Linked DNA regions of Caenorhabditis elegans. The protein of the gene in region 1 interacts with the protein of each later gene in a biochemical or structural test. Each region holds a gene or a part of one and is shown in the gene's direction. Other genes may lie near its edges.

The links.
Region 2: the proteins of vit-6 (region 1) and ung-1 form a complex in vitro, tested with the Caenorhabditis elegans proteins (one large-scale study listed by BioGRID).

What each region holds. Positions count from the first base shown.
Region 1 is NC_003282.8:8,251,210-8,267,619, forward strand, and holds vit-6 (Vitellogenin-6), read left to right. Parts: upstream 1-9,963; coding exon 9,964-10,058; intron 10,059-10,149; coding exon 10,150-10,609; intron 10,610-10,666; coding exon 10,667-14,614; intron 14,615-14,662; coding exon 14,663-14,932; intron 14,933-14,975; coding exon 14,976-15,158; 3' UTR 15,159-15,250; downstream 15,251-16,410. Other genes in the region: K07H8.7 (Lipoprotein), read right to left, coding at 8,039-8,168, 8,219-8,344, 8,413-8,535, 8,619-8,770; K07H8.8 (sulfotransferase family protein), read right to left, coding at 15,543-15,682, 15,735-15,892, 16,105-16,245, 16,298-16,410. UniProt on the Caenorhabditis elegans protein: Precursor of the egg-yolk proteins that are sources of nutrients during embryonic development. May play a role in cholesterol uptake. May be involved in thermotolerance.
Region 2 is NC_003281.10:11,965,328-11,981,737, reverse strand, and holds ung-1 (Uracil-DNA glycosylase), read left to right. Parts: upstream 1-7,647; 5' UTR 7,648-7,648; coding exon 7,649-7,707; intron 7,708-7,752; coding exon 7,753-8,425; intron 8,426-9,998; coding exon 9,999-10,115; 3' UTR 10,116-10,271; downstream 10,272-16,410. Other genes in the region: Y56A3A.31 (SOSS complex subunit A homolog), read right to left, coding at 7,212-7,232; Y56A3A.30 (SP-RING-type domain-containing protein), read left to right, coding at 2,675-2,736, 2,897-3,603, 3,938-4,930, 5,621-6,106, 7,479-7,534; Y56A3A.28 (C2H2-type domain-containing protein), read left to right, coding at 10,380-10,472, 11,229-11,369, 12,370-12,717. UniProt on the Caenorhabditis elegans protein: Excises uracil residues from the DNA which can arise as a result of misincorporation of dUMP residues by DNA polymerase or due to deamination of cytosine.

The sequences.
Region 1 (16,410 bases):
CTTTATTTTTAACTTTGCAAAACCTACTTCGTCTATAATATATTGGTTGATCTTTCGTGCTTCTCCTTTTTAGTTCACTGATTACCAGTTTTCAGTCTTTCGTTTTTCAGATAATACCTATAAGTCTATAGACAAGGTTTTTAGAGATCTGGAAACAAAAATAACAAGGCTCTATAATCTACGCCACAAAACGCGTTTAAAAATAGAAAAAAAGAAGCATAAGGTACATAAGAATCAAACAGAATAATGACGGTTCAAAAATCAGTTCCATCAAAATCTGAATAAAAAACGATTTTTTTCGCGAATTGGTGATAGGAGTTATCACGAGAATGAAAAAGGAAGGAGGCGAAATTCAATTGAAAAAGGAGAGAGAGCACGCTATAAACGTTTGATTTTTCTCCTTTGTGCATTCTAAAGAACACTTTTTGGACTTGTAATTTATTTTATCATATAGAAATTTATTCTTGTCTCAATATTAAGATGACTGCTAGAGGGTGAAATATTGATCAGGAAGCAAATTATTTTTTAAATTGATATCCGAGGAAAATCAGAAACCAAAACGGGCTTATGAAGTACACTTGGGAACAAGCACAGTGAAAAATGTATAAAATGTTTTTTAACTACTACGATCAAATTCAGTTGATCAAAACGTTTTCCTGTTGAAACTGAACTTTTTTCAGGAAACTGCATGGTTTCTGAAAAGTTGGCACCCATAAACGGCCTTTTGTTTTTAATTATAAAAGTGTAGTAGCGCAGTAGGCATTTTGTCAAAATATACTCAACATGTACCAGACAGACTAAATACCAAAACCAATGAAATGTTTTAGATAATTCATAAATTTCAGTCAAAGATTTGGCAACTTGCTTAATTTTTGAATAATTTGGCCGTTTGGAAAAATCATTGCATAGACCCAAAAATGTGCAAACTCAAATAATTCAAACATATTTTAGGTGTAAAACGCGAAGAATTGTTAATTTAAAAAATCATGATAAAAAACTGAGTAATTCCAACTTTTTGACTGTTATCAAAAAATGTTCAAAAATGTTTGAAAGGTTTTTGGTAATAATGATAATTGGTAATCATATTTGGCTTAAATTTTTCCAGTTACAAAGTTATCATAAAATGGAACATTTTGAATCACACATCTTCCAATAAGGAATCTCATATCTTGCAACGATCTCAGGTGTACGGTGGATTACGGTTGGCACAGTGAGATGCCAACGCTGTCATTGGATGTTTAGTTCACAATTTTAATTTTGCTTATAATTGAGTTAAAAAACTGAGAAAGATAAAACAATTGAAAATAATTTTCAAAAGCAGCATTGGCTGGGTAAGAAAACCAAAATTTACATGCGAAAAATGTTTCAAATATTCCCATCGTTTCACGCCATCGATGCTATAAATTAAGTATAGCTTAATTAAATTCGAGAATCCAGTAAGTTTTTTTTTGTTAAGTGCAGAAAAAGTAACTTTGAAATTGAACTTTTTTATCAAGAAGCATTTCCGGAAATACGAAAAACAGAATAAAAATTGTGAAACGAAACTGATTGAAATATACTATTTACATATAACCAGAACAATTTTTTTTGGCTGAAATTTATCAAGGAAGTAATTTTTCCAACTAAAATTGACAGCTAACATTTTTAGTTGATGTTCTCTGTAAATACTTTAATAAAAATTATTAATAAAATTCCATACTTGGTCACGTACTTATCATATTTTGTAGCTTTTCGCACAGAAATTCCAAATTTCGATCATATTTCCGATACTGCGCCACACAAATGTTATAAACGCATTGAAGAAGACTCTCCAAATGACGCACGTGGTGTCGCGGTAGTGTGTTTGGCTCTCGTCCAACAGGCCGCTGGTTTGATGCCCGCTGACTGCGGTGACGATCAACTCTTACCTACTATGACAAAAACAATGGTTAGACGTTACTCGTACTGTCTGAGCAGTTTTGTTTTTTTTTTCGAAAAAAAGTTTACATTTTGCCATATTTACATAAATATTCCATTAGTATTTAACCACAATGCTCTATAAGTTCAATAGAAGTTAAGCTTTCCTAGGAAAGTGTGACTTTTAAATTAATAAAGTTTTGAAAACATATTCATGTTGATGGTTTAAGAGTTTCGAAGAGATGACAAATAACTTTGGAGCAGGAGAAGGTCTAAAAAATCAATTTAGAAAATCGTCAAGTAAAATCGAAAATGTGTGGACATTAAACAGTTGACTGCACTTGACTGTTTTCTAACATCATTCTTGTGTTTCGGCAACTACAGTACATCTTTTCATCTTTAAATCGTAGTATGAACTTAACAAGAGTAAAAGTTGCACGTTTTATTTGTTGATCGACCGAGAAGCTCGGCGAGCCCTACCAAACATTGTATATGATTTGCGAGAAACATGTTTGGGAAAAGAAGGATTGATGTGTGGTCAGTGAAATTGATCTAAAAACTAAAATCAAGGGATCACTTGTGCGCGGGGGAGGTTTCAACAATAAAACAACAATTGTGGGGGAAAATCCGGAATAATAAGGCACCGGAAGTATTATATTTTTCTTAATTACAATTATCTTTGATTTTTATCGAAAAACAATTTTCTGTTTCAAACAAGAAATGTACTCACTCCCGACATAAAAATAATATTTTGAAATGGTGATTTTATAAAAGTTTGGGACCTTTAAGTAGTACAATAAAACGTTTTTACCGTTAACTCGCAATGTAATTTGGCTTTTCTATGTTTCTCGTAATTTACCCAAGTTTATGATTTTTTTTACAATTTACATGTGTTTCAATGTTTAAAAAAAGTAAAATTTTTAAGAGAAAGCATGTGAAAATAGAAGAATATTGCAAAATGACGAGGAATGGACACTGTACTACTTAAAGGTGCATACCATTTTTACCGTATTTTTGAAAATCATCTCGCAACTGGGTATAACTTTCCAGTATTCAAGTTGGAGAATGTTAAAGTTCAAAAACTAATTTTTGAAAATGTTTGAGAATCTCCAAGCCGATTATTTTTTTGGGATGAACTTTTTATGATGTCACGAGATAAGAAAACGGACATTGGCCAAGTTGCAAGAGAAACTCGCTATGACGTTCAAACAATTTAACTGAATTTTTTCTTTGAAGATTACGGAAAAAGATAATATGAGTACTTCCCTCATTTGATCAGCCAGCTTTTTCCAAAGATTAGTGAAACAAGAAAACAAAGAAACAGGATCAAACGGGAAGCTGAGAGATGTTGGAGAAGGAAGGAGAAGTCACAGCTACCGTATTGGATGCGGAGAAGAATCGGATAATTAACTGAAATACGTCACGCACATATGGGTGATCGAAAACCTTTTTTTCAAGCGGAACAAAAGATCAGAATGTGAAGTCTCAGACAGTCAATTGAAAATTTATAAGGGAACGGAAATTGATTAGTTGAAAGTATAAACAGTTGTTCATAAATTAAAATTATACGCTATGTAAGTACTTGTTTAGAATTCTCTGGTCTTCTCTTTATTCTGTCATATTTTTCGGATACAAAAGTTTTGGAAACTTTTTTATGTCGTCCCAAAATGAAAATCCGCTCATTTTTTTCTGAAATTGTTACATCGCATTTAGTTTTCCTAAAGTTTTTCATATGGTGAAGTATTCAAAATTAATAAAGAGTTTTTACAAAACCATAAATGTTTGGTTAAAATATTTTTAAAAAAATGAATCAATTTTTGAAAATTATATTTTGACGGCGAATTCCGCCACAGGTTTGTTATTTTGCAAAACAATTATGGAGTTGTTAACACACTTTTTTGGGCACTAAAAAAGTATCAGCGAAGAAACGAATAGATAAGATCGCAAATATTTAAATAAATAAACACTGAAAATGTGAAAGAATTTTATAAAAGTTTAAAACATTGGCAATATTCAATTCCAGAAAAAGAAAAAAGTACCTTTAAAATTTTTGGTTAATTTTGATTTGTTTAACGTGTTTAGCAAGTAATACTTCCTCGTAAAAGAATAATTGAGATATTTTTGGCATAAGAAACCTATTGCCTTTTGTAAACCGGTACAATGCCTAAATAATTTTCATTGCACACTTTTTTTTTAATTACCCAACATTCTTGGCAAGCTAATTTCACCAAAATATATTTTCTAGCTCTTCTCCTTTTATAACCGGTACTTATTTTTAATCAAACTACATCGAAACAACCAAATTGTGCATCGGAGTATTGCAGAGATAAGATGCTGATAGCATCGTACTTTGCATGTCCTTGTAGCCTCATGACATTTCATCTTATGAACCACCGCGAGGTAAAAATGGAACATTAGATGGATTATCCAAGAAAGACTTCAAAAATCCAGCAGGGGGTGCAAAAATAGTTTGAAAATGACATTATCGATTTTAAACGCATTGGAACATTAAAACATTCTCAAAAATTAGTGGCCTTCATTCCGAGATGACAAACTTTTTGGTGGCAAAGGTTCTTTGGGGGCATAGTATCCAAGGAGACAAAGTATCCAGTAGACAAACTGGGGTGTATCTTGGGGGGCATATTTTTGGTGACAACCTTTTTTTCAACTAGATTTTTGTTCACATTTTTCTGGAATAAGTTTTTTAATGCAATTTTCAATCGATTATCGGTTATAATTCCCTCACAATTGAATGTATGAACGATGGTCTTTTGGGAAAAGCTGTAAAACGTCCAACTAACTTGGAATATCGTGAGGCTCTTCCTGATGGTCTGATCCTTCAGCTCCGAAGGATCGTAAGGGTACCTCCTGATGGTCTGATCCTTCAGCTCCAAAGGATCACGAGGCTCTTCCTGATGTTCTGATCCTTCAGCTCCGAAGGATCACATGGGCACCTTCTGATGATCTGATCCTTCAGATAAGAAGGATCGTAAGGGTGCCTCCTGATGGTCTGATCCTTCAGCTCCGAAGGATCGTAAGGGTACCTCCTGATGGTCTGATCCTTCAGCTCCAAAGGATCACGAGGCTCTTCCTGATGTTCTGATCCTTCAGCTCCAAAAGAACATGAGGCTCTGCCTGATGATCTGATCTTTCAGAGCCGAATGATCACATGGGTACCTCCTGATGTTCTGATCTTTCAGCTTCGACGGATCATATGGATTTTTGACAAAATTTGAAAAAAAAATTTTGAAAAAAAACTCGAAATTTTTTTTGTTATTCTTCATTCTTTAAAGAATAGTTCAAATTTATCATGATAGGACCGAAAACTTTCAAGAAACAGTATAACTATACATGATAATCAGCTTCTACCAAATAATGATAAATTCTCCGCGATGACAAACTTTTGGGTGACAAAGTATCTTGGTGGACAAACAAAAATTACCGAAAACTGATGTAAGGAATAGTGAAATAGAGTCCTATGGACTATTAAACATGTTCAGTAGGTGTATTCAGGACTGTCCGTCAAAATAAAAAAAAGTTTGTCAGACGAAGTTCGAACCTGGGACCTGTAGGATGCAAAGTGCGCTCACTACCACTACACCAGCTATGCGAAAGTCGGCCAGCCTCATCGAAGGCTATAATAAAACTTAGTTCGCACGAGTATGATCGACATTCAACAAACAGTAATATCTCTCAACAAGAATTTCTTCATGGAATTGAGGTCATTTGACTATTTTTATCGGTTTTTCAAGTTGAGCATAGGGTCTTTTAATTTTTTGAGCATAGAAAATCATGAAAGCTGCCTGTTCCTTGGAAAAAAATAAAAAATAAATTTTAGGCCTAATCAAATTTTTTCCGGATATTGTTTTTTTGTCATGATTATATGTTTTTAAATTTTTTATAATGTGTTTTATAATTAAATTCGCTATTATTTCCATCGTAATGTCCTTTTCGAGGCAGAATTTGCATTAAATTTCATTGAAAGTTTCGTGCGTCAAATAGGATGCTTCATACGCAAACGTAAAGTACGCAAACACCGACCGTATACCGTATTCATCGAAACAAATTAAATTTTTTGCAACATCTATTTTTCAGCTCGAACTGTTAAATTTTGCTTGAAATGAAGGAAATAATGACGAATTTTGTTATAAAACACATTATAAAAAATTTAGAAACATATAATCATGACAAAAAAACAATATCCGGAGGAAATTTGATTAGGACTAAAATTTATTTGTATTTGTTCCATTTTTCGATATAATATTATCATTTTTGTTCAACTTTCTGGTTCAAAATACAGAGATACACACAATGGACATGAAATGATCACTTTTCAGGAAATATTTTAGGCCAGATACGTCTATTTCGATCCAGGATACAAGGAACAGGCAGCTTTCATGATTTTCTATGCTCAAAAAATTAAAAGACCCTATGCTCAACTTGAAAAACCGATAAAAATAGTCAAATGACCTCAATTCCATGAAGAAATTCTTGTTGAGAGATATTACTGTTTGTTGAATGTCGATCATACTCGTGCGAACTAAGTTTTATTATAGCCTTCGATGAGGCTGGCCGACTTTCGCATAGCTGGTGTAGTGGTAGTGAGCGCACTTTGCATCCTACAGGTCCCAGGTTCGAACTTCGTCTGACAAACTTTTTTTTATTTTGACGGACAGTCCTGAATACACCTACTGAACATGTTTAATAGTCCATAGGACTCTATTTCACTATTCCTTACATCAGTTTTCGGTAATTTTTGTTTGTCCACCAAGATACTTTGTCACCCAAAAGTTTGTCATCGCGGAGAATTTATCATTATTTGGTAGAAGCTGATTATCATGTTTTTTTTTTCAAATTTTGTCAAAAATCCATATGATCCGTCGAAGCTGAAGGATCAGAACATCAGGAGGTACCCATGTGATCATTCGGCTCTGAAAGATCAGATCATCAGGCAGAGCCTCATGTTCTTTTGGAGCTGAAGGATCAGAACATCAGGAGGTACCCTTACGATCCTTCTTATCTGAAGGATCAGATCATCAGGCAGAGCCTCATGTTCTTTTGGAGCTGAAGGATCAGAACATCAGGAAGAGCCTCATGATCCTTTGGATCTGAAGGATCAGACCATCAAGAGGTACCCTTACGATCCTTCTTATCTGAAGGATCAGATCATCAGAAGGTACCCATGTGATCCTTCGGATCGGAAGGATCAGAACATCAGGAAGAGCCTCGTGATCCTTTGGAGCTAAAGGATCAGACCATCAGGAGGCACCCATGTGATCCTTCGGAGCTGAAGGATCAGAACATCAGGAAGAGCCTCGTGATCCTTTGGAGCTGAAGGATCAGACCATCAGGAGGCACCCTTACGATCCTTCTTATCTGAAGGATCAGATCATCAGAAGGTGCCCATGTGATCCTTCGGAGCTGAAGGATCAGAACATCAGGAAGAGCCTCGTGATCCTTTGGAGCTGAAGGATCAGACCATCAGGAGGTACCCTTACGATCCTTCGGAGCTGAAGGATCAGACCATCAGGAAGAGCCTCACGATATTCCAAGTTAGTTGGACGTTTTACAGCTTTTCCCAAAAGACCATCGTTCATACATTCAATTGTGAGGGAATTATAACCGATAATCGATTGAAAATTGCATTAAAAAACTTATTCCAGAAAAATGTGAACAAAAATCTAGTTGAAAAAAAGGTTGTCACCAAAAATATGCCCCCCAAGATACACCCCAGTTTGTCTACTGGATACTTTGTCTCCTTGGATACTATGCCCCCAAAGAACCTTTGCCACCAAAAAGTTTGTCATCTCGGAATGAAGGCCAAAATTAGTTTTATTCGCAAATTCCAAAGTATGCTCGTAAATTTTTGCAATGTTTTGTTACGTCTCGTCTGATCAAGTTATTTAAATCACCTGGAACGGTTTTTGAACGTATTCCTTTTCTGCAACTTTTAGTCTCCTGCTGTTTACAAAATATTCCATTCAGCCGAGCTGGAACGACCTTCACATCCCTTTTAACGCGCCATGGATCCTGTCGTGTATGCATTTAGTAACGGGATTGTCCTTTTCCAAATAGAATAAAAATCGATCTAAATTGAATCATACTTCATTTCCAACTATAATCAAGTTTCCATTAAATCGATCTATTTCTTTTCAGTCGGAGTCAACGTTGATTTGATCAGCTTATCCGCAAACTGCACCTTCTTTCCATTGGGCTTCTCAACAATTTTCCGCTCTTCTGGGACTGTTAATTTGGATATTCCTTTCTCGGATCTGAAATAATTTACAAATAATTGGTTAAAATTTCAATTAAAAAAACCAACCCTGCAGCTTTTCCTAATTCCATGTTAATAACTTGAGTATGCTGTGAATCCGTTTCAGTTTTCTTTTGCAATGTGGTTGCTTTTTGAAGGTTTTTCTTTCCACGAAGCATTTTTATAGAGTTCTGGCTGAAAAATAGAGTTTCAAGTAAATTTGTTAGCTTTTCAATTTTCATTTGAGGGAAACAAAAACTTACATAACACTTTTCTTACTCTTTGTTTCTTCTTTCGGTGGCTCTGGTTTTACCATCACACTATCTTTTGGTATTGCAGTTGTTTCAATTGGAGACACAATAGAAGTCGACGCTGATTTTTTTGTACTGGAAACAAATTGTATTTTGTGGCACAGAATGGGTGAAATTAATTATTCCACAGAAAGGATTGCACTAAATAATAAACAAACCGAGAATCTGCATTCTTCGTTTTTGATCCTCCACCTTTTTGACTGCATAATATCAAAACTCCAGAAATCAGTGATATAATGAGTGCCATTGAAAAGATTTGTGATTTGAGAAGTATCAGATGAATATAGAAATTATTCCAATTTGAGAGCATAGTTGGAAATCTCACCAAATTTTGAAATTTGAAAATGAGTTAGTAATTTTTGAACAATCTGCCAGAGATTAATTAAAGATAAGGAATATCCACAAATTACAAATATTGGATATTAAATATGATTTCACGTCATAACTGAGATTTGTATAATATCATAATTGTACGGAAATATTTAGGTATTAGTATTTCAGCTCACAATCAGACTTTTTAATGAAAACTTAATTCAAAAGGGGATATCTTAAATATCATTACAAAACCTTGTTAGCAGCAGAACTAGAAAGTTTAAAAAAACACCGATTTGTGGTGCATAATGTACAAACATCCATTGACAACATTTCTTTAAAAAATAATTTTTTACTAAAACATTTTGAAGTCAAAATTAAATTTTTTCAAAAATAAAAAATTTACGGGCCTCTAAAGTAGTGGAAAATGCACAGCAAAGTATTCAGATAGACTTTTTTCTTGTTCAAAATGCACCTTTGCCACTAAACCGAAATTCTTGCCTTGTTCATTAATTGTTTCAAGTTTGTAGGATTTTTAGAACTTTGAAATATCTAAATTATTTGTATTCTGAAAAATATTATCATTTCGCAACAAAAAACTAGAAGCAGAATAATTTATTGTGAATCTTGCTATTTTTTATAGTTTGTGAAATTTTTTATACTTCCACATTTCATGAACAGTTTGGTTTGGCCACATGACTAAGGCGTGACCCACATAGAAAACATCAGGTGCCTTTGAAGCAATATTTCACATCTTCGCAAAGCTAAGGTCATTGTTATTTTTGCCATTTCATGACTATAATGGCATCATTTTATTCCCCCAATTTAACCAAAAGTCAGATGCAAAATGTTGAAAGTGTTGCAATTTCAAAGTAGAAAATGTAACTAAACTGTCAAAGAAAATTGTCATACTTTGACCAGAAACCATCTCCCCATCCACCTCCCCTCATCGGAGCCACCCGCCAATCCCAAAATGGTACCTAACATTACTGACACTCTCCCGCACTCAACAATTGACACCTGTCTCAATGACTGATAAGCATGCTGAGTCTCTTCAATCCGCATGGTCTCTAAGCTACTTTCAGAATTGCAACATGCTGCGATGGACATCTTGTCGAAGTTTAAGAGTATGTATAAAAGGACACGAGCTTCATGTATTCTTCACTCGGTCACTTAGATCGATCAATCACTATGAAGTTCTTCATAGCGCTTGCTCTCTTGGGAGCGGCACTCGCCTCGACCCATTTGGATCGTTACAACTCCATCGAGAGAAATATTCAAGAATCGTAAGTTACTTTTTAAATCATTTTTGAGAGTTGACCCTTTTTATATTTCAATTATTTTCAAAAATATCAATCACATTGTACTCCTTTTCAGCTCATTCCGCGCCGGACGCGAGTACCGCTACCTCTTCAATGGCCAGCTCTCTGCCGGACTTCCAGTCCCATCTACCCCACAAGGAATCTCACGTCTTCAATCTCAAGTTACCCTCCAATGGACTGATGGAAACACCGTCCGCATGCAACTCCAGAAGACCCGCTTCGCAACCTCTCAGCAAGAGTCCAACTCCATGAAGATGCTCCCATTCGAGCGTTTCGAGGAGGTTGAGCGCATGAACCGTGAGCACCAAGAGCTTTTGAGCATGCCAGTTGAGTTTGATTACGAACACGGACTTGTCAGAGAGATCCGTTTTGCTGAGAACGATCAGCCATGGTCAGAGAACATCAAGAGAGCCGTCATCAACATGCTTCAAGTCAACATCCTCAAGAAGGAGAAGTACGAAGGAGCTGAGAAGAGTGACAACCAAGAACCAACTTTCTCTTTCACCAATGTTGAGGTAAGTTCTAAATATACATATATATTTGAGTTCGAAATTTGAATAATTGAATTTCAGCGCACCCTCGAAGGAGAATGCGAGGTCCTTTACACCGTTGAAGAGATCAAGAAGGAGGATGAGCAACGTTGGGCTAAGTCGATCAACTTCGACAAATGTACCCGCCGCCCATACATCCATCACGTGCAGACTCCAGTGTGCAAGGATTGCCAGCAAACTCTTGAGCAAGACAAGATGAGCTCCACAGTTCTCAACTACAACATCACTGGAACTTCATCAAGCTTCCTCATCAACTCCGTTGAACTTCGCTCCCAACACCTTTTTGCCCCAATCTCCGAGAAGCATCAACTTGTTTCTGCCTTCACCTTGAACACCATGGAGCTTATCTATGCTGGAGAGAAGAAGACCGAGATCAAGCAAGTCCGCAATGAGAAGACTTCCGAGCTTGTCTACAACCAGGAATCCGAATGGGCTGAGCAACAATGGGCTCAAACTGGAGAGGAGAAGTACCTTAGACAACTCCCACAATGGACCGAGAACAAGGTCGAGATGATCAAAAAGATGTTCTCTTTGATGGCCAAGCAAATCGAACAAGGAGAGGCTGAGCTTGAGGCTGCACACACTGTTGCCAGAATCGTCAAGGTTCTCCGTGAGTGCAACGAGGAGCAACTCGAACAAATCTACCGCCACGTCGCTGAGCACAAGGATGAGAAGATTGCTGAGCAACTTCGCTCCATCTACTTCAACACCCTTGCTCTCGCCGGAACTCGTGTCACCATTCAACAATTCGTTGACAAGGTTCAATCTCGCAAGAACATTGCTCCACTCAAAGCCTCCGTTGCCATCAAGACACTCGTCGACATGCGCTACCCATCTCTTGCTATTGCTGAAGATATCGCTCGCCTTTGCGAATCCGATGTATCTTCAAGCTTCCCAGCTCTTCGTCAATCCTGCTGGCTCACCTACGGAGCTATTGTCAATGGAGTGTGCGGACAAACCCCAAGAGTCTTCGTCCAGAAGAATGGAGTCAAGATGTGCCCACGTGATGCTAAGCAAAGAATCGTTGACAAGCTCGTCCAACAATTCGAATCTGCATCCACCCGCTACGAGAAGGTTCTTGCTTTGAAGACCCTTGCTAATGCCGGACTTGATCTCTCTGTCTACCCACTCGAGAAGATCATTCTCAACGAGCAACACGAAACCACCATCCGCACACAAGCCATCGAGTCATTCCGTCGTCTTCGCACCCAGATGCCAACAAAGATTCAACGTGTTCTTATGCCAGTCTACCTTAACCGTCAACAACCACAACACATCCGCATGTCTGCACTCCATCAGATCATCTACACTCAACCAGAATGGTCCGTCCTTTCCCAGATCGGAAACCAACTCAGACAAGAGCGCAACCAACAAGTTCGTGCCTTCACCCTCTCCCTTCTCCGTTCTTATGCTAACAACGAGTCTCCATGCGAGCAGACATTCTCTTCCCGTGTTCAATCTCTTCTCAACAACATCCCATTCTCATCCCAAGAGATTGATCGCTTCGAGTCTGTCTATGGAAAATGGTCCACCTACTCCAGACGCCACCAATCCGGATTCGAAGCTAACTTTGCTTCCCTCTTCACCACCGAATCTGTTCTCCCAACCGAGATGATGGCTTCGATTGAAGGAGTTCTCTCCGGAGAATGGAACCAATACTTCGCTCAAATCGGATTTACCCAGAAGAATATGGAGAAGATCATCAAGAAACTTCTCTCCAATGTTCAAGAAAAAGGACTTGAACAAATCGTTGTTCGCGGAAAGAGAGCTTCCGGATCCTTCCAACCAACTGAATTCTTGAGCAACCTTCTCGAGAAGCTTCGCATCACCCGTCGTCAATCATCTGAGCAAGATCCACATGCCTTTGTCTACATCAGACACCGTGATATGGACTACGCCTTCCTTCCAATTGATGCTGACTCAATCCCAGAGGTTGTCCGCTCCATGATCCAAGGAGGAAGACTTGAGATCGGAGATATCGAGAGAGTCCTTGCCCAAGGAATCCACTTCTCTGCCTCCAACGCTGCTTTCCTTTACGAGACCGTCCGCAGAGTTCCAACTCCAATGGGACTTCCAGTTCAATTCACCTCCAAGATGCCAACCATCTCCTCCATCCGCGGACAAGTAACTTTCGAGCTTGAGCCAAAGAACGGAAAGAGCTTCGACGGACTTCGCCTTCGTGTTCAAGCTGGGCCACGTGTAGCCTCCACCCACGTCCTTTCTCTTAGAGTTATCTGCCCAATCGCCGAGGTCGGAACCAAGTTCCTTCACCAAGCCGTCCTTAATACTCCAGTTGACACTGAGATCAGAATGAACTGGGAAGACAAGGTTGTTATCCGTGCTATCTACAACACCCCATCCGAGGAGAAGAGAATCGCCATGATCCAATCTCGTCCAGTCACCTTCACCCGCACTGTCGCCCCAGATGCTCGTCAATACCCAGAACCAATCGAGATGACCTACATGCTCCCAGCCCACAAACAACTCAGCCAATCTCTTGACCGTGAATACCCACAAATCCGTGTTCAAGGAACTCTCAACCGCCCAACCAGCGTGAGAATCCCACAATGGATAGTTGACAGCAACGTCGAGGTCTACTACAAGCCAAATGTTGAGCAATACGAGGCTATTTTTGAGCTTAACTTGTACAACAACTACAAGATGGAGAAGAACTACGAGAAGGTATACAAGAAGCATAACGGAAGAAGATATCTTGAGGCTGAGCCAGAATACGATGAGGAAGAGCACCGTGAGCAGATCACAAAGAAGTTCGAATGGCTCCAAAACGAGAAGGTCTACCAACACGTCGCCAAGTTCGAAATCAAGCCAGAGGTTGTCAAGATGGAGGTTGAGGCTGTCTGCAACAATGACTTCCACTTCTGCAAGACCCAAATCCGCGGAGAAGAGCTTAAGGCTACAATCCAATACGTCTACCCACAAACCCCAAGGACTGTTGAGGAGCTCAAGGAGCAAAAGTACCGTCAACTCGTTGTTATGGGAGAGATGAACTACGGAGAGAACACCATTCACATCAACATCAACGGACAACAATCCCAAGAACAAAAGAAGTTCGTCAAGCAAATTGAGCAAGCCCCAGAGCACGAGACCCTTCTCGAGGCATCTAGACTTGACCAATACCAAACTGTTGTTGAGTACGAGTTCGAGCCAAAGCCAGCTCAATACTTCGCCAGATACTGGAACATGGTTCAAGCTTATCTTCGCACCCAATACCCATGGACTTCCAGAATCGAGACCCGTGAGGAGCCAAGCCGCAAGAACATGATCCGTGCCACAATCAATGTTGAACCACGCCAACGTCTAACTGTCAACATGACTATCGAGACCCCAATGGAGACCACCGTTCTTGAGCGTGTCGAGCTTCCATTCAGACTTCCAACTGCCCAAATCCACTACCAGCCAAGAAACTCCCGCTACGAGCAGAAGCCAGTCATGGAGAAGATCGCCCATCACGCTTCCAAGCAAGCCAACTGTGTTGTCAAGAGCACCAAGATCAACACCTTCGACCAAGTTGCCTACCGTAACCAATTCACCCCATGCTACTCCGTTCTCGCCAAGGATTGTGGATCTGAGAAGAGCGAGCCCCGTTTCGTTGTCCTTATGAAGAAGATCAACGAGAAGAAGGAGTGGAAGAACGTCAAGGTTGTCTACGGAGAAAACGAGATTGAAATGTACAAGACTGAGGAAGGACTCATCTGCCGTGTCAACGGAGAAGAAATCGAGTACCAACCAGAATCTGAGATTGAGAAGAAGCAATACAACATCATCTGGCTTAACAAGAACACACTCAAGTTCGATTCTGATGATGTCACTGTTCAATTCGATGGAGTCAATGCCCGTATTCACCTTTCCGCTCTCTACAGAAACCAACAATGCGGACTTTGCGGCCACTACGACAACGAGAAGGAAACCGAATTCTATGATGCTGAGAACCAAGAGAACACCATTCCAGTAAGTTTCTTAATTTTGATACACAACAATAATCATCTCAATTTTCAGAAGTTCGCCAAGAGCTACTTGTACAAGGACTCCAAGTGCAACTACGAGCGTGAGATGTTCGAGAAGGAGGAGAACTTCCAACGCATTGAGAAAAATCAAGAGGAGGAGAAGGACCAAGAGATGAACTACGAGGAATCTCGCCGCGAGCAAGACGATGAGCCAACTGAGCAAGTCGCTATTGTCGAGCGTCAACACGAGATCTGCTTCACCCAGAAGCCAGTTCTTCGCTGCCAAAACGGAAAGTCACAGGAGTCCAAGAAGCAAAAGGTGGTAGTAGTTATACATTTCAATCAATTATTCTGTAACATTTCAGACCTCCGTCTACTGCCTCCCATCCTCCAACTCATGGGCTCGCCGTCAAATGCGCGAGATCCGCCGTGAGCCACTCGCCCAATGGCCAGAGCACAAGCTCCGCAACCTTCGTGACCAACCACAAATGGAGGAGCGCACCGTTCGCGTCGCCGTCGACCAGAAGTGCGACAAGTTCGACTATTGAACTACCTCTTCTTCACAATCATACACATCGTAGGACTATCTTTGTCAATTGAATTGTTTTATAGATTTCAATAATAAACAATTTCAACAATTTTTTGTTTGTGGAAAATTTACTTTAAACATATTCCAATTTGAACTGTTCAATTCAAACAACTCGGCATTTTGCCACAGAGTTCACTTCTACAGTCTCCTCTCGCACGTCGTCAGAGTTCACAAAGAGTTCAGATTTTTCTGTAGAAGTGCGAGGGAACTCTATGGCAAAATGCCGAGTATTTAGAAACATAAAGTTTATGTTGAAACAATCAGAATACGGAAATACAATTGAAATGCAACACCGGGGAAAATTGTCCGATTTCTGTCAATCATAGTTACTTGTTTAACCCGTCTACATTGAATACCCAAGATATAAAAAATCATAGTAATAAATTCTCTGTAAAGCTCTCCTGATAGCTCCATCTTCTTCAATAAGCTTTTCATATTTAAGTCGTAGAGATGTTCCAGATGTTGAGTGCTGGGTTTTTCCTTCTGAAAGTGTTGAAATTGAATGAAATCAAGAATGCAATTAAAAAAAGCTTACTTGAAAGTTCTTCTCTGACTTCGTTCAGATTTTCTTCTGGTACATTTCTATTTTTGAAAACGGTCAATAAATTATCAATCATCTTTATTTTTTCTGTCCCCGTACTCGAATATTGTATTACTGTTGAGTTCTTGATGTTGTTTTTCATATCGCAGTACCTGAGAAACCGTTGAACGATCTTTTGGTTTAAATTTTTGAAGATTCTCATGACTAGGAGAAATGGAAACATGAATTAGGCAATAGGCTAGACAAAAACTGTTATCTTGATCTTAGCGAGACATTATGTCTTTTGTCTTCTTGTAGCCTCTTATGAATTCAAAAGACAGCTTAAAATCCTGGCATGAAGAATTTAATGAAGTTGAGAACTCACCAAGTTTGAGGAGCAAAATGTGTGTCTGCTCCAGTGTAAACAGGAAATAGCATACTCATTCTAATTAAACGTCGATATTCTTTCTGCAAGAAACATCGGATGTCGGTTCCACATCCGTGACAAATATTTGTGTCCGTGTTACTAAAATTTATATTTTGCAGATCCTGATATTATCCTCTAAATCTAAACTTACTTTACACACTTCTCGGTAAATCCTGAAATGAACCGATCATAGGGATTTCGTGTGAAAATTATATTATCAAAGTTAGAATTCAAACTGCGTTGCACCATTTTAAAAGATTTCAA
Region 2 (16,410 bases), on another chromosome or scaffold:
GGCCAAGTGCCATTGGCCTGTGTGCTGCTGCGGCGCGGCTCTGACTTCATTCAACAACACACGTGCCCTCCCGGCCGAACGTTTCTAGAAAATAAAGCAGAATATCCTGCGCATTCACGTGGTGTCAGGTTATCCCATCACGGCTTGATCTACAATAAATGCGCCATTTTTTTCCCCGGAAAAGTGTGACGTCAGCTCGTTCATCTCGTTTCCCGCATTTTTTGTAGATCACGAGTTTTCATTGATATGTTCACGTTTTCCATATTCAGGGAACACTGAACTCTGAGAATGCGTATCTTGCAACATAGTTGACGACGCGCAAAATATCTCGAAGCGAAAACTACAGTAATCCTTTACATAAATAAGACTACTGTAGCAGTGGTGACGGGGCCTGGGCCTGGCACCTGCAAAAAAATCGAGCCCGTAAATCGACACTACAGTAGTCTTTTAAAGGATTACTGTAGTTTTCGCTACGAGATATTTTGCGCGCCAAATATGTTGCGTAATACGCATTCTCGGAATTTTGTGTTCCCAATTTTCAAATATGTGAGAAATATTTGTTGTACATTTCCCAATATCCCGAATTTCTATTTTACCATAATTTACAGTAGGATTACGGTAAGAAATCGCAAAATTTCCAAAATTCCACACCGACCAATCACCAAGCCTGGCTCCACCCACTTTTGAACCAATCAGCGTTGATTGGCACGAAAATTGGCGCTGATTCGTCTAAATTCCTCCCGGCGTCAAACACCACAAAAACCTCCCGACCAATCAGCATCTTCGAGCTCCGCCCACTTCACCCGATTGGTTGAAGAGTGGGCGAAGCGAATCGCTGATTGGTCGCCTCATTTTGGAGGGAATTTAGCCAAAATAAGAAAATCTCGTTGGATTTCCATATTTTTTTCGACTTTTCTGGATATTTTAAGGCAAAATCCTTCTCCAAAAGTCTCCAAAAAAATTCCAAAAGCTTCTCAAATGTATTTTTCTTCTAAAAGTGCTTCCTCTCCAAATTTAAATTCATCAGCGTCTCCTCGAATTAAACATTGTCTGTCTGTGTCCCGGCGTCGTTCTATTTCTCTATGTCTCCAACATCATAATTTTTGTGAGGGCTGAACAGCCTCACTCTCGCCCTCTTGACTAGAAAAAAAACAGCCATCTCCTTTCCTTTTCTTCATTCCTTCCTCTTTTCCCAATTTTCTTTCCATACCAGTTGCACAGATAGTCTCGTTTTCTCTAGCCACCTTCAATTTATTGAGGAACATTGACCACATTACAATCGTCCCCAGTGCCGTGGGCAATACCGAAACCTGCCGTATGCCGTGGGAACACTGGGCACAGGCATATAGTTCACAATGGCATTTTGCTCTGATATTTGCTCTTTTTTTTATCGCATTGCTATCTATTTTCTGCTCTTTTTTGGTTTTTTTTGAAATTTTAAGAAATTCCAACTTTTCAATGTTTTCATGTACATAGAGCATCTTTTGGCAAATCCGCGATTTGCCGGAATTTTCAATTCCGCCAAAAAAATTATTTCCAAAAAATATTGTACTCTATATAGGTTTTACACATATTTTGTGGGCTTAATTTTTTTTTCTAGAAAATTGGCACACAAAAATGTGTAAAACCTATATAGATTCATCAGAAATTTTGAAATTTCCGGCAAATTGGCAAATTGGCGGATTTGAAATTTCCGGCAAATTGGCAATTTATCGAAAATGAAAATTTCCGGCAAATTGGCAAATTGATGGATTTGAAATTTCCGACAACTTGGCAAACTGACGGAAACCAAAATTTCTGGCAAATCAGCAATTTGTTGGAATTGAAAATTTTCGGCAAATCGGCAAATTGCCGAAAATCAAAATTTCTGGCAAATCGACAAATTGGCGGATTTGAAATTTCCGGCAAATTGGCACATTGCCGGAATTGAAAATTTCCGGTAAATTGGGACATTGCCGAAATGGAAAATTTCCGGCAAATCGTCAAATTGCCGAAAATCAAAATTTCCGGCAAATCGACAATTGACGGATTTGAAATTTCCGGCAAATCGGCAAATTGCCGGAATTTAAATTTACGGCAAATCGACCATTTGGCGAAAGTCAAAATTTCCGGCAAATCGGCATATTGCCGGAATGGGAAATTTTCGGCAAATCGGCAATTTGTCGGAATTGAAAATTTCCGGTAGATCGGCAGATTGACGGAATTGAAAATTTCCGGCAAATCGGCAATTTGCCAAAAATCTAAATTCCGCCACTTTGCCGGAAATCAAAATTATGGCAAATTGGCAATCGGATTCTAAAATAAAACTTCCGGCAAATCGTCAAATTGCCGTATTTCAAAATTTCCGGCAAATTGGCGGTTTGCGGGATATGATATTATCTGGCAAATCGGCAAATCGCCGGAATTGAAAATTTCCGGCAAATCGACAAACCGGCAATTTGTCGATTTGCCAATCGGCAACCGCTGTATAGAATTTGATAATTTTCTGAGTTTCAACATGAAAAAATATTTCAAACGATACATTTTCACATTCTTAAAATTCAGAATTTCTTGAAATTGAAAAAAAACCTTTTAAAAAAACTATTTCTCTATTTTTCCATATAAATTTCTAAAAAAATCGAGATTTTCCAATTTTCTTGCAATTTCCTTTCGAAATCACAACAATTTTCCAGAAATGAACGACGAAGACAGTGAGGAAAGGCGTCATCACCCTAAAGTACCCCGGCTTGCTAGGCAGTAAGTACTCAAAAATTGAAAAAATCGCTAAATTCGCTCCGACCAATCAGCATCCTCGAACTCCGCCCACACCACCTGATTGGTTGGGCAGAGCGAATCGCTGATTGGTCGGAAGTTTTTCGCGATTTTTCGTGCAACTTCAACAAAAAAAAACTTCCAGATCACATCCCGAACCACCTGGTCCTAGTTCAAGCACATCCAGCACTCCACTCTTCACCGATCCAACGATTCACACGATTCTCGATCAGATAGGCCAACGACTAGCGAGCTTCAGCGAAAGTGATGTGAAACGAATCAAAAACTACTTGAGCACTGTAACAGTGACACAGGAAGCGTGTGTTCTGTTGCTTCTGCCCAACAAAGAACGGGAGAAGCTAATGTTTGCCGAGATTGAAAGACATATACTGGAAAACTATGAATATAGTATGATAATTCATCGATATGTGAATGATGTGCTGAAGCATGCCATCGAAACACAGTTCGTTAATCCGGATAAACTCGACGAGAGCAACGATGCTTGGAAGGACGGATTGAAGATGATTAGCGAGCAAAAGATGAGAAGCTCGCGGTACACGGCAGCTCGGGCTCGAAGTCAGCGGTTCGCAATCGCGAATGATAGCTACTTCCCGAGGCCTGAGATTGTGCCTAGTACAGATCATCCTGTCTTCGCTTCAAGACCTTCGGTTTCTACCCAGGAGGTTCGAACTGGGCGCCAACAAATAGATCAGGAAGTTTCTGGCAGGAAGCGAGAATTTCATGGAAAGCTGATTCCGATCACAGGCGTGGTTGAAGAGCCAAGTGTCAGAATAAATGCCGAACTTCAGCAGTCAGAAACGCAACAAATTGGAGACAGTTCAGATCAAACAGGTAAGTTGTTTAGTAATATTGGCTTATTTCAAGCCAATTAGTACATCAGAGACAGGATTGCACGGCAATCGAATTTTCGGCAATCACCGAAATTGCCGGAAATTTTAAAACCCGGCAATTGCGGAAATTGCCGAAACTTTTGAAAATCGGCAATTGCCGAAATTGCCGACTGCTCAAAATTTTAAAAACCGGCAATTCCCGAAATTGCCGAAAACTTACAAAACCGGCAATTGTCGAAATTGCCAGAACTTTTTAACACCGGCAATTGCGGAAATTGCCGATTGCTCGAAATTTTGAAAACCGGCAATTGCCGAAAAATTGAATAACTTTTCAGATACTGCGACTCCGATAAGCGACATAGCCACTCATCAGGATCCGGAAAACGAAATCAGTCCATCAGTGACAGAAGGTTCCAATGATATTGCTGACGATGCTGGAGCAGGAGACGACTTTTCGGAAAGTACTACTGGAGCTGTGCAGCCTGAGCAACAAGCATCCGAGCACTCCAACTCGGAAGGTGTCGAGAAGTCAAGCTGCGCTGAATCTCTTAAAGAACAGCCAGATCAGTCGAGCCCAGCCGTTTCTAATACTGTTTCGGAAAACTCTAATACCGATAGTGAAATATGCTCTGGAATAGATCAAAATCCGAATTCGGATAACCTGGAATCTACGATTGATGTGGGTGAGCCGCTTCGCAACACCTCCGATCAGCCATCTCCTGATCCTTGTTCTGATGTCCAGATAGGAGTGAACAGCACCACCAAGCAATCCACTGATCCTTCTGTGAACGTTCAGCTTGGACACAAAAGCTCCGATCAGCCATCAACTGATCCTTCGGCACATGCTCAGTTGGAGGACAACTGCACCATCCAGCCTTCAACTGATCCTTCTTCGAACGATCAGCTGGGAGACAATACCTCCGACCAGAATTCAACTGATCCTTCTTCCGACGTTCCGATGGAAGACCCTGGAGAATCAGGATCAGCTGCTTCAACGCCTCCACCCGACTGGGATGTTGCAGAAGTTCCGATTCCTCAGTGTAGTGGCCACTCTGACGGCAATATCGGAGGCACGAATGAAGTTACACCACCGGAACAAGAAGCTCAAGTATTGGCTCCAAGACGTTCAGAGAGATCTCGTATAAAAAATATTTGGCTCAGCCGAGATGAAGTCGAACGATTGAGATATGAATTTGTGCCACCGCCGTCCAGAAAAGATATTCCGAAGTGCACTGCCAAGAAGCCCGAAGCTGAGATACCGAATGTAGAGCCAGAGTCCAGTTCAACTGTAGAATCACAGAGAGATGAAGATCAAGCGGTTGCGAGCGGTGAGTTCAGAGATATTGAATATTTTACATCAGGGGTGGGCGGAAAATCCGGCAAATCGGCAAATTGTGGGAATTGAAAATTTCCGGCAAATCGGAGAATAGTAAGAATTGAAAATTCACGGTAAATTGGCAATCTGCCGAAAATCAAAATTTCCGGCAAATCGCCAATCTGCCGAAAATCAGAATTGCCGGCAACTCAGCAAATTGCCGGAATTGAAAATTTCCGGCAAATCGGCGAATTTCCGAAAATCGAAATTTCCGGCAAATCGCCAATCTGCCGAAAATCAAAATTTCCGGAATTAAAAATTTCCGGCAAATCGGCACATTTCCGGAATTGAAAATTTCCGGCGAATCGGCAAATTGCCGGAATTGAAAATTTTCTGCGAATCGGAAAATAGTGGGAAATTGAAAATTTCCGGCGAATCGGCAAGTTTGCCGGAGTCGTAAATTTCTGGCAACTCAGCAAATTGGAGGAATAAAACATTTGCAGACCGGAAATTGTCGCCCACCCCTGTTTTGCACTACGCTTTGACAAGTGTGAATTTATTCGCTTTTTTTATTTGCCTGAATTTTGCCGATAAAGAAGATTTCCGGCAAAGTGGAAAATTGCCGGAATTTAAAAATTTCCGGCAAATCGGCAAAATGCCCAATTTGCCGCCCACGCCTGCTTCACAAATTGATTAATTGCAGCCTCTTCCGTAGCTGAACCTCTGGAAGAAGCCACTACAACGAGTGTGCCAGAGCCAACAGAGTTTCAATTGTCACGGGACATTTATAGCACTGTAAAGCCGACTGATGAGGCTCATAGCCCGCCGATTCAAGCCCAACCGAAGAAAAAAGCCACGCCAAGACGGAAGAAAGCAGATGACGTGGAAACTGTAGTAGCTGACGGAACAGCGACGATCCCGAAGCCGAAGAGAAAAAGGCCGCCGAGGAAGAAGCCTGAGCCGAAGCCGAATATCGTTTTTGAAACAACGCCGAATCCTCCGACAGAAAGCTTCGCAGCCAACAACAATTTCCAGCAGTTCCAGTTTCAAAATCAGCCTGGTAGTTGGACCTACAACAATGGATTCGGCAATGGATATGGGTACGGCGGTGGAACCACTGGATACATGGATAATCTTGTTGGCAGAGGGTTTGACACGGTTTCTCAGCAGCCTGGATTTCAGAATCAAGGTACATTTTTTAAAAGGAATTGAGAAAAATGTGCCAAAAAATTTTAAAGGTGGACTACGCTTTGTGGGGAAATTGCTTTAAAATACGCCTATGGTACCACAATGACCGAATATCATGATTAAAAAATTCAAAAATTTTTTCTAAATTTTATATGATTTTTTGAAAATTGGAAAAATCACAGTTTTCCCCTAATTCCTATTTGAATTACCGCCAATTGAATTTGTTCGATGGGGCGCGCTTGCACGTTTTTAAATTTATTTATTTTATTTTTTGTTATTTTCCACCGATTTTTAATGTTTTCGGTGTATTTTTGCTCGAATTTTAGAGAAAAAGTCAAAATAAATGCAAATTTTCGATTAAAAAGTGCGCTTACAGGCGTAAATCAGTGAAATTAATTAATTCAGGTTCGAAATCGTTTAAAAGCGTTACTTTTTCATTTTTACGCCTGTAAGCGTGCTTTTTAATCGAAAATTTGCATTTATGTTGATTTTTTCTCTAAAATTCGAGCAAAAATACACCGAAAACATTAAAAATCGGTGGAAAATAACAAAAAATAAAATAAATAAATTTAAAAACGTGCAAGCGCGCCCCATCGAACAAATTCAATTGGCGGTAATTCAAATAGGAATTAGGGGAAAACTGTGATTTTTTCAATTTTCAAAAAATCATATAAAATTTATAAATTTTTTTTTGAATTTTTTATCATGAAATTCGGTCATTGTGGTACCATAGGCATGTTTTAAAGCAATTTCCCCACTAGCGCTACCCCACCTTTAAAGGAATTGTGAAAATTGTGAAAAAAAAAATCAAAATTTCGAAAAAAAAAGCGCTAATTTTAACTAAAATCTCTAATTTTGGCCACTTTTCCGTGCTGCAGCGTCCGAAAGTGCACTTTTTTTGAATTATTATTCTTATTATTATACATTAAAAACCCCCGTACTCCTCCAATAACGCCAATATTATCGACCATCTGGACGTGACCGCGTGCAACCACGGCCTAGCTGCCGCCACCCCATTCAAACGAGACATTTCGGCGGGAGAGTCCTTTTTTTCGATAATTCGGATTTTTTTGTCTGTTTCAAGTAATTTTCGCCATAAAAATTACCATTTTCTTCTTCGGTGCCATTTCTAATGATTTTCCAGTGCGTTTTGAGTCTGAAAGTTTGAAAATAAGAGTTTTTGCACAAAAATGTGTGAGAAAAGTTCAAGAAAATCGTCGAAAAATTCAATAAATTAATTTTAAAATTTAAAAAAAAATTAATTTTTTTTAAAAATCAATTCTGTGCATACACCGCCACGCAAAAGTGCACACAATTACCTACCGTAGTCAATGCGAAATTAAATGATTTTTATCGATTTTCTTCATTTTCAGGTTACGAATTCACCGGTTTGCCTGCAAATAACTCGAATAATTTCCCATTTTTGTGATTTAATTTTTCAAATATCCTTATCTATGCCCTCAGGTTTATTTTATCTCATTTCCACTCGTGTTTTTTGAATAAAAATTCTTTTTTTTTCTTCTAGATTTCCGTTTATTTCAGAATGTCGAAGACTGTAAGAATTCCGGACATGTTCCTCAAAGCATCCGCTGCCTCTAAACGGTATTTCCCGCTCTGAAAATTCAAAAAAAACCACCGAAATTTCAGAAAATCCGCTTCAAATACTGAAAATATTCCGGAAAAAGTTCCCGCGGGCAATGAAAATCAAGAAGTCAAGAAAATGAAGTTACAAGCACCAGAACCAACTGAAATTCTGCTAAAATCCCTGCTAACCGGTGAATCTTGGTCGAAACTTTTAGAGGAGGAATTCAAAAAAGGCTATATTTCGAAAATCGAGAAATTCTTGAATTCCGAAGTGAACAAGGGCAAGCAAGTGTTCCCACCGCCCACACAAATTTTCACAACATTCAATCTTCTGCCATTCGACGAGATCAGCGTGGTTATCATCGGTCAAGACCCCTATCACGATGATAATCAAGCTCACGGGCTCTCCTTCAGTGTTCAGAAGGGTGTAAAACCGCCGCCATCGCTGAAAAATATCTATAAAGAGCTTGAATCCGATATTGAAGGCTTCAAGCGGCCCGATCACGGGAACCTGCTCGGCTGGACACGTCAGGGAGTGTTCATGTTGAATGCCACGTTGACGGTTCGGGCTCACGAGGCGAATTCTCACGCGAAGATCGGCTGGCAAACTTTCACGGACACTGTTATTCGGATTATTTCGCGACAATCGGAGAAGCCTATTGTCTTTTTGTTATGGGGAGGATTTGCTCATAAGAAGGAAGAACTGATTGATACAAAGAAACATGTAGTTATAAAGGTCATTATTTTTCTGGATAGAATTCTGGAAAAAGCATGGAAAAGTTGATTTTAAGATTTTTTCCCTAAAAATGTGTTGGAAAACGACAAAAATTGCCGATTTTCACCTGTAAAATCGGAAATTTTGCGATTTTGCTGGAAATTTAGGTAAAAATTGCCAGAAAACCTAGAAAAAAATTCAAGATTTTCCCATAAAATGGTAGTAAAATTGTCACTTTTCAGTTAAAAACTAAAAAAAATTCAGGGGTTTGCTCTAAATTTTCCCCTGATTCCGAATATCTATGTGAAAAATTGGAAAAAAACGTCCCTTTTATTGTAGAAAATCGACGATTTTCAAACGCGCGCCAGAGAGCCAGAGACGATTCTCATTGGAACGCACCGTGTTGTGTCGATTTACGAGATTTGTTTTTTTAAAGCCAATTTTTTGCTGTTTCTTCATTTTTTTTTTCGGTTTTTTGAACATTTTATTATTATAAAACTCGCAAAATTTCCTTATTTTTAGATGGAAAATGATTTAAATTCAGAGAAAAAAAACCGAATTTTTTCGATTTTTTCAAAGAAAATCGGAATTTTTCTTCTTTTTTTTTTTAAATAGAAAACCGGAATTTTTCTATTTCTTTCCAGAGAAAATCGGAATTTTTTCGTTTTTTTTAATTTTTTTCAAAGAAAATCGGAATTTTTTCGATTTTTTTTTTGATTTTTTAGAGAAAATCGGAATATTTTCGATTTTTTCAAAGAAAATCGGAATTTTTTCCATTTTTTCATATAGTTTTCCAGAGAAAATCGGAATTTTTTCCATTTTTTAAAAGAGAAAATCGGAATTTTTTTGAAATTTTTAAGGAGAAAATTAGAATTTTTTCGATTTTTTAAAAGAGAAAATTAAAATTTTTTTTTTCTATTTTTTCAGAGAAAAATCGAAAAACAGAAATTGTTTTTTAATCGAAAAAAAAATTCGAGAAAATTTCTATTTAAAAACTCCAATTTTCTCTTTAAAAACTCAAAAAATTCCGATTTTCTCTGAATTTACCTCCTTTTTCATCTAAAAATAGGAAATTTTCGCGGTTTTCTGATCATAAAATGTTCAATTGGCTCGAAAATACACAATTTTCAACGAAAAAAACCGATAAAAATGAATAAAAAGCTGAAAGCTGGCTCGTAAATCGGCACAAGACACAGCGCGCTTCAATGTCTGGCGCGCGTTTGAAAATCGTCGATTTTCTACAATAAAAGGGACTTTTTTTTCCAATTTTTCACATAGATATTTTAAACAAGGAGCAAATTTGGAGCAAAACCTGGAGAATCTTGTTTTTTTTTTTGGTTTTTAACTGAAAATTGACAATTTTACTACAATTTTGTGGGAAATTCTTGAATTTTTTAAAGTTTTTCTGGCAATTTTTGACATTTTCCACCAAAATTTAAATTAATTTCAAAGGGAAAAATTGATTGGTTTCAGACGTGGAAAATCGCAAAATTTTTGATTTTTGTGAAAAAAAAAACCTATTTTTTAGCGTATTTTAAAAATATTTCCACTAAACTCAAATTTAATTTTTTAAAAAATTTTAAAAAATTTCCAGACCGCCCATCCGTCTCCGCTGAGTGCTCGCAAGTGGTGGGGATGCAAATGCTTCTCGAAATGCAACACGGAGCTCGAAAATTCCGGTCGAAACCCGATTAATTGGGCGGATTTATGAATAAATTCTCCTGTCGAACACCCTGCGTCTCTTCATCTCACACACTCTCTCGCCACTCACTGAAGAACTCTGTTATTTATCGATTTTTCTATTTTCTCTTCATTTTTCCTCATTTTTTCCTCATTTTTTCGGTTTTTCATCATAAAAATTCGATTTTCTGGCCATTTTTTTGTTCAATTTCCAATTTTTCATTCGTTTCAACGATTTTTAAATGCTTTTCACGGAAATTGCAGCGAAAAATTGTTTTTTTAACAGAAAAAAAGAATGCGGCGACAAAAAACCGAAGAGGAACGGAGCTGGACTTCAATTTCTCGGCATTTTTTATGCCTTGAATGTAGAAAATATTTCCGGAATAAGGTAGAGAAGATAATATTCTAATTAAATCGCAGAAAATATATTAAAAATTGAAAAAAAAAAACCGATTTTTCCCAAAAAATATATTAAAAAACCGAAAAAATTCCAATTTCTTCTTTAAAAAAATTTAAAAACATTGAAAAATGCTAATTTTTCTTATAAAAAACGAGAAAATTCCGATTTTTCTCTAAAAATATATTAAAAATTGAAATTATTCCGATTTTTCAGTAAAAATATCAAAAAATCAGATTTTTCTCTAAAAATACATTAAAAAATCAGATTTTTCTCTAAAAATACATTAAAAAATCCGTTTTTTTTTTAAATTTATATTAAAAATCGAAAAATTCCGATTTTTCTCTTTAAAAAATCGAAAAAATTGCAATTTTCTCAAAAAAAAATCGAAAAAAAAATTCCAATTTTTCTTTAAAAATATAAATATATATATAAAAAAGCGGAAAAATTCTGATTTTCTCAAAAAAAAAATTACAAATTAAAAAAATCCGACTTTTCTCTAAAAAAATTATTAAAAATCGAAAAAGATTCCTATTTTAATTTAATACAAAAATTAAAAATCGAAAAAAAAATTCGATTTTTCTTTTAAAAAATTTAAAAAATTGAAACATTTCCGATTTTTCTCTAAAAATATATTAAAAGAATCGAAAAAATTCCGATTTTTCTCACAAAATAATTTAAAAAATCAGAAATTTTTTTTTTTTAAACGAATATTTCAATTTTAATTCAAAAAATTTCATTTTTCAGCGCGAGTTCTATTGGCACACCGAAGATTGTCTTATGGAAGCTTTTGAACGAGAAGTTGCTCTAAGCGTATCCCGTGGAGCCGACGAAGATATCGCTGAAAATGAGGAAGAATGGGATGATCAACCATCAGAAGAAGCTCTTGTTAGTACGAAAAATCTAGAAAAACCAGGAAAAAATCACGAAAAAACGCGATTTTTCACAAAAAAAATGCCTAGAAACATAATAAATTTGAGCCTATTTCAGATTTTTTGGAGCAAAATCAGGCCTAAACTCGAAAAAAATTTGCTCTGAAAAAAAATATCGAGAAAATTCCAATTTTCTGTTTAAAAAATCGAAAAAAATCCGGTTTTTTTTTTCGTTAAAAAATATATAAAAATCGACAAAATTTTCGATTTTTTTTTTTTTTAATCGAAAAATTCTGATTTTCTCACAAAAAATTGACAAATTTTCGATTTTCTGTAAAAATTTTAAAAAACGAAAAAATGCCGCTTTTGTCTTAAAAAAATCAAAAACTAGAAAAAACTTTCGATTTTCTCTGAAAAAATTTAAAAAATCGAGAAAAATCCGATTTTCTATTTAAAAAAATCGAAAAAATGTCGATTTTTTTTATCGAAAAATTCTGATTTTCACACAAAAAAAAAAAATTTTTCCATATATTTCCGATTTTTTCTTTAAAAAACCACAAAAAAAATCCAATTTTTCGTTAAAAAATATATAAAAATCAACAAAATGTTCGATTTTATCTGAAAAAATTAAAAAATCTAAAAATTCTGTTTTTCTATTAAAAAAATCGAAAAAATGTCGATTTTCTTTTGTTTTTTAATCGAAAAATTCCAATTTTCGATTTTCCGTAAATTTTTTTCAAAAAATAGAAAAAAATGTCGATTTTGTCTTTAAAAAATTCAAAAAAAACTGGAATAATCTCAAAAACCACAAAAATGAGAACCGCCCGACCAATCAGCGATTCGCCCGCCCACTTTTCAACCAATCAGGCGAAGTGGGCGGGGTTAGAAGTTCTCATTTTTAAGAGAATTTAGCTAATTCTTTCGCGATTTTTTAAAGTTTTTCATTTTTTTCTTTTGTGGTAATTTTTGAAATTAATTTAAATCGCCTAAAAAAAGCTTCAACGTACAATTTTCAGGGTCTTATAGCGAAAAACGAGGCGTCTCCGTCAAAACAACAACAACCACCACCACCACCAAAATCTTCACCAAGAAAACCGGAAAAAGCTCAAAAAGAGGAAAAAGTGATAGCAGGGCCACGTGGATCACAAATCATTGTATCAGTTGAGCCCCAAGTTGAAGCAGGCTTTCAGTCGGATGATGATGATGATAGTGAACCACCACTTTTAGTGTCACAAGTTGAACAGGAAAAAGAGGATATTAATGAAGAAGATATTGGAAATAATGATGATGAAGAGGAGGAAATGGAAGGAGATTTGGAATATGGAGATGAAGAGACTCCGCTTAGTTTTATACCTTCTGGAACGGTATGGGAAAACTTAAAATGTGCTCCTGATTCCGAGTATATATGTTTAAAAAAATTGGAAAAAATTTCCCTGATTTTCAAACGCGCGCCGGAGACGATTCACGAGATTTTTCATATATAAAAAATCGAAAAAATTCTGTTTTTTCTCAAAAAATATTTAACAAACCGAAAAAAATCCGATTTTTTCTTTACGAATATTTTTTAAAAATTCCAAATTTTATCAGAATATATTTTAAAAATCGAAATAATTCCGATTTTTCTTTCTAAAAAATTATTAAATATATTACAAAAATATAAATAAAAAATTAAGAGTGGAGCGCCGAAATGCCCCTGCTGCTCGTATTGCCAGGCTGTCCCACCACGGTTTGATCTACAAAAAATGCGGGAATTTTTTCGCCCAAAAAAATGTGACTTCAGCACGTTCCTAACCATACGAAATCAGTTGAAAACTCTGCCGCATTTTTTGTAGATCAGCGTAGATCAAACCGAAAGGAGCCACACTTTGACACCACGTGCTGATTCCGAGTATATATGAGGAAAAAATTCCAGAAAAACTCTTTTCCAGCAGAAAATCGCGAGGAGACGATTTTCAAACACACGCGCGCCAGAGACGATTCTCATTGGAGCGCGCCATGTTGTGCCGATTTACGATATTTTTTATTTTATGCCAAAAATGCAATTTTTTCTTCATTTTTTTTCTGCACTTTTCCTCTTAAATCGCGTGTGTGCCACGGGTAGGTGTTTTTGAAAAAACTTTTGACATGCGATGTCCGAAAAAAGTTGTCCGAAAAAGTTTGACCATGCGTCATTGTTGCCACGGCTTATAGCTCGGCGCTGGATGGATGAAAATTCGAGTTCTTTTTTTTAATCTCTTTAAAAAGGGTTTAACTACATGATATTTTTTACCGTTCTCAATTTGAAAAACGTTGAGCAAACTTATGAAGCTCCCAAAAAAAAGTTCTCCAAAATTACCCAAAAAACACCCTAAAAATCGCTCTAAAACCCCTTTTTCAGTGCAAAGAAGAAGTCGGATCAATTTCTGTTCCAGAACTTTTTTAGTTTATTTTTTGAGCCCGATTTTTTGAAGCGGATTACAAGCTGATTGACCCAATTTCGAAAATGTAGGCCATCATTAAAGTTTTCGAAAAACTAAAAAGATGAACAAAAATATGTAATACGTGAAAAACTCTCTCTCCACTCTCTCTCTTCCTCTGATTTGGCAATTTTTCATTTCTTATTTATCACGCAAAGAGAATTAAATTATTTCAATGGTTTTTTAAATTTTTTTTGCAATTAAGAAAGAGTACAAGTAGAAGCTTTGGACAACTGTTCTTATTCTTAATCTAAATTTCTGAATTGTAGGCTTTTACTGCCGGGTCAGCGCGCCGCAGGCGCTCTGAATCTAAATTATAGGCAGAGCAGGCCGAAGGCCTGCGATGTCATGACAGCTTTCTCTGTAGGGTCAGAGCGCCGCAGGCGCTCTGAATCTAATTTATAGGCAGAGCAGGCCGAAGGCCTGCTATGCCAGTCGGCTTTTACTACCGGTTCAGAGCGCCGCAGGCGCTCTGAATCTAAATTATAGGCAGAGCAGGCCGAAGGCCTGCGATGCCATGCCAGCTTTCTCTGTAGGGTCAGAGCGCCGCAGGCGCTCTGATTCCAAATTGTGAAGGACATACAAAAATATTTTACTCTGTGTGGGGTCGAACCCAGGGGTACCCACCTGACAGACCAGTCCTCTACCACTTGTCCATGGCGCGCGCGCCGCCACACACTCTGCGTGCGCGCCCCTCCTCTTTCACAGCAGCCGACGCCTGTGCAGGACCTTGCACACCTCTCCTCCCCTCCCCCTTCCTGCTCTGCGAGCCCGCCCCTCCTCAAACTTCAATCGCTTATATCTCCGCTCATAGTTGTGATAGAGACTTCGTTCTTTGAGCAATCGATCCCAAATTTCAAGGAGATCTCGAATAACACCAACACAGGTTCGAGGCAAAGCCGAGAACCTGCGCCAGCTACCTTTTCGGGCATCCCCATTCCCGAAGGTCTGGCGCGGCTTGCCGCGCTAGTCTGCATTTTCCTCTTAAATCGCGAGTGTGCCACGGGGGGTCGTTTTTGAAAATGCAATTCCTCCGCAAATGTCAAAAAAAATGTCCCATTTCGGACATTTTTTTCCTATTTTTGTTATTTCACGAGATTTTCCAGGAGAATATACAACTCGACGAGGCGCGTCTGTTCACCTAAAAATCATTTCGATCTGAGCACTTTAAACCTCTTTTATTGAGCTCCAAACCGTGGTGCGCGCTCTTTCACCCGCCGCATCTCCCCCTTGGTGTGTTTTTTTGGGTGCAATCCTCAAACCACCGCTTCGTGCGCTGTTCTCTTTCACAAATCTTGGGTTTTAAGGTGAAAGTATTGTAGAGTAAGCTTCTGGCTACATCTTAAAGTAAAATTTATTCCAAAAAAGTTATTTTTTCATTCTGAAAATCGAGCCAGAAAAAATGTTGTCAAAAAAATGAGGTTTTTGCCTTAAAAATAAAAAATTTTCCACTACCGAATGGGATTTTATGTTAAATTCGTAATTAGTACATAAATACCGAATGGATGCTGAAAGCACAGCTCTCTACGATAATTTTCAACGATTTTAGAACATTTAATTTTTGACCTCGAAATTTCAATTTCCCTCTTTTCCTGGACCAGTTTTTTACTGAAATGTGAATTTTATGCCCTAAATCTTATTATTTTTGCTATGAGAAGCGAGACAAACCAAAAGTTTTCGGTCATGAGTTTCTCGAGCCCCGTTCCTGAAGTTGTAGGCTTCAAGCCTTGCTCAGGAAGCTGAAAAGTTCATTCTTGACCAATTTTTAAATTTTCAAATGCTATAATATTCTACTTTTAACGCTGATTTCGAATATATACTTTTCTTTTTCCAATTCCTATTATGAGCTGAGTTACGGCGCTTTCAAGTTTCAGCAACGCCTCCTCTCTCTTGCCTCCTCCCTCTTATGCATAGGGTGGCTGTAATATGGTCTCTAATTACTGTTACAGGATCAGGTATGTATATTTTACGACATATCGAAGAACAATCGACAGCATCACCACATTTGTTTTTGTAAGAGGTCCCTCAATAGGTTGTAAAACAGTCTATAATATCCACCTTTCTTCCTGCAAGAAAGGAGGTAACGTATATGAGACTGTACATTGGTTGCAATTGAGGGGTTGACAATTATTATTTTAATTTTCTAATAAAAATACATTAAATTTTTTTTTTAATTTTAAAATAAAAAATCCTTTTTAATTTTAAAATAAAACATTTTTTAATTTTCGGCTTTCACTGCCGGGTCAGAGCGCCGCAGGCGCTCTGAATCTGAATTATAGGCAGAGCAGGCCGAAGGCCTGCTATGCCAGTAGGCTTTCACTGCCGGGTCAGAGCGCCGCAGGCGCTCTGAATCTAAATTATAGGCAGAGCAGGCCGAAGGCCTGCTATGCCAGTCGGCTTTCACTGCCGGGTCAGAGCGCCGCAGGCGCTCTGAATCTAAGTACAGACAGAGCAGGCCGAAGGGCTTCTATGCCAGCCTGCTTTTACTGCCGGGTCAGAGCGCCGCAGGCGCTCTAAATCTAAATTGTGTACTGCAGGGAGACAAAAAATATTTTTGAGGTAACGTATATGAGACTGTACATTGGTTGCAATTGAGGGGTT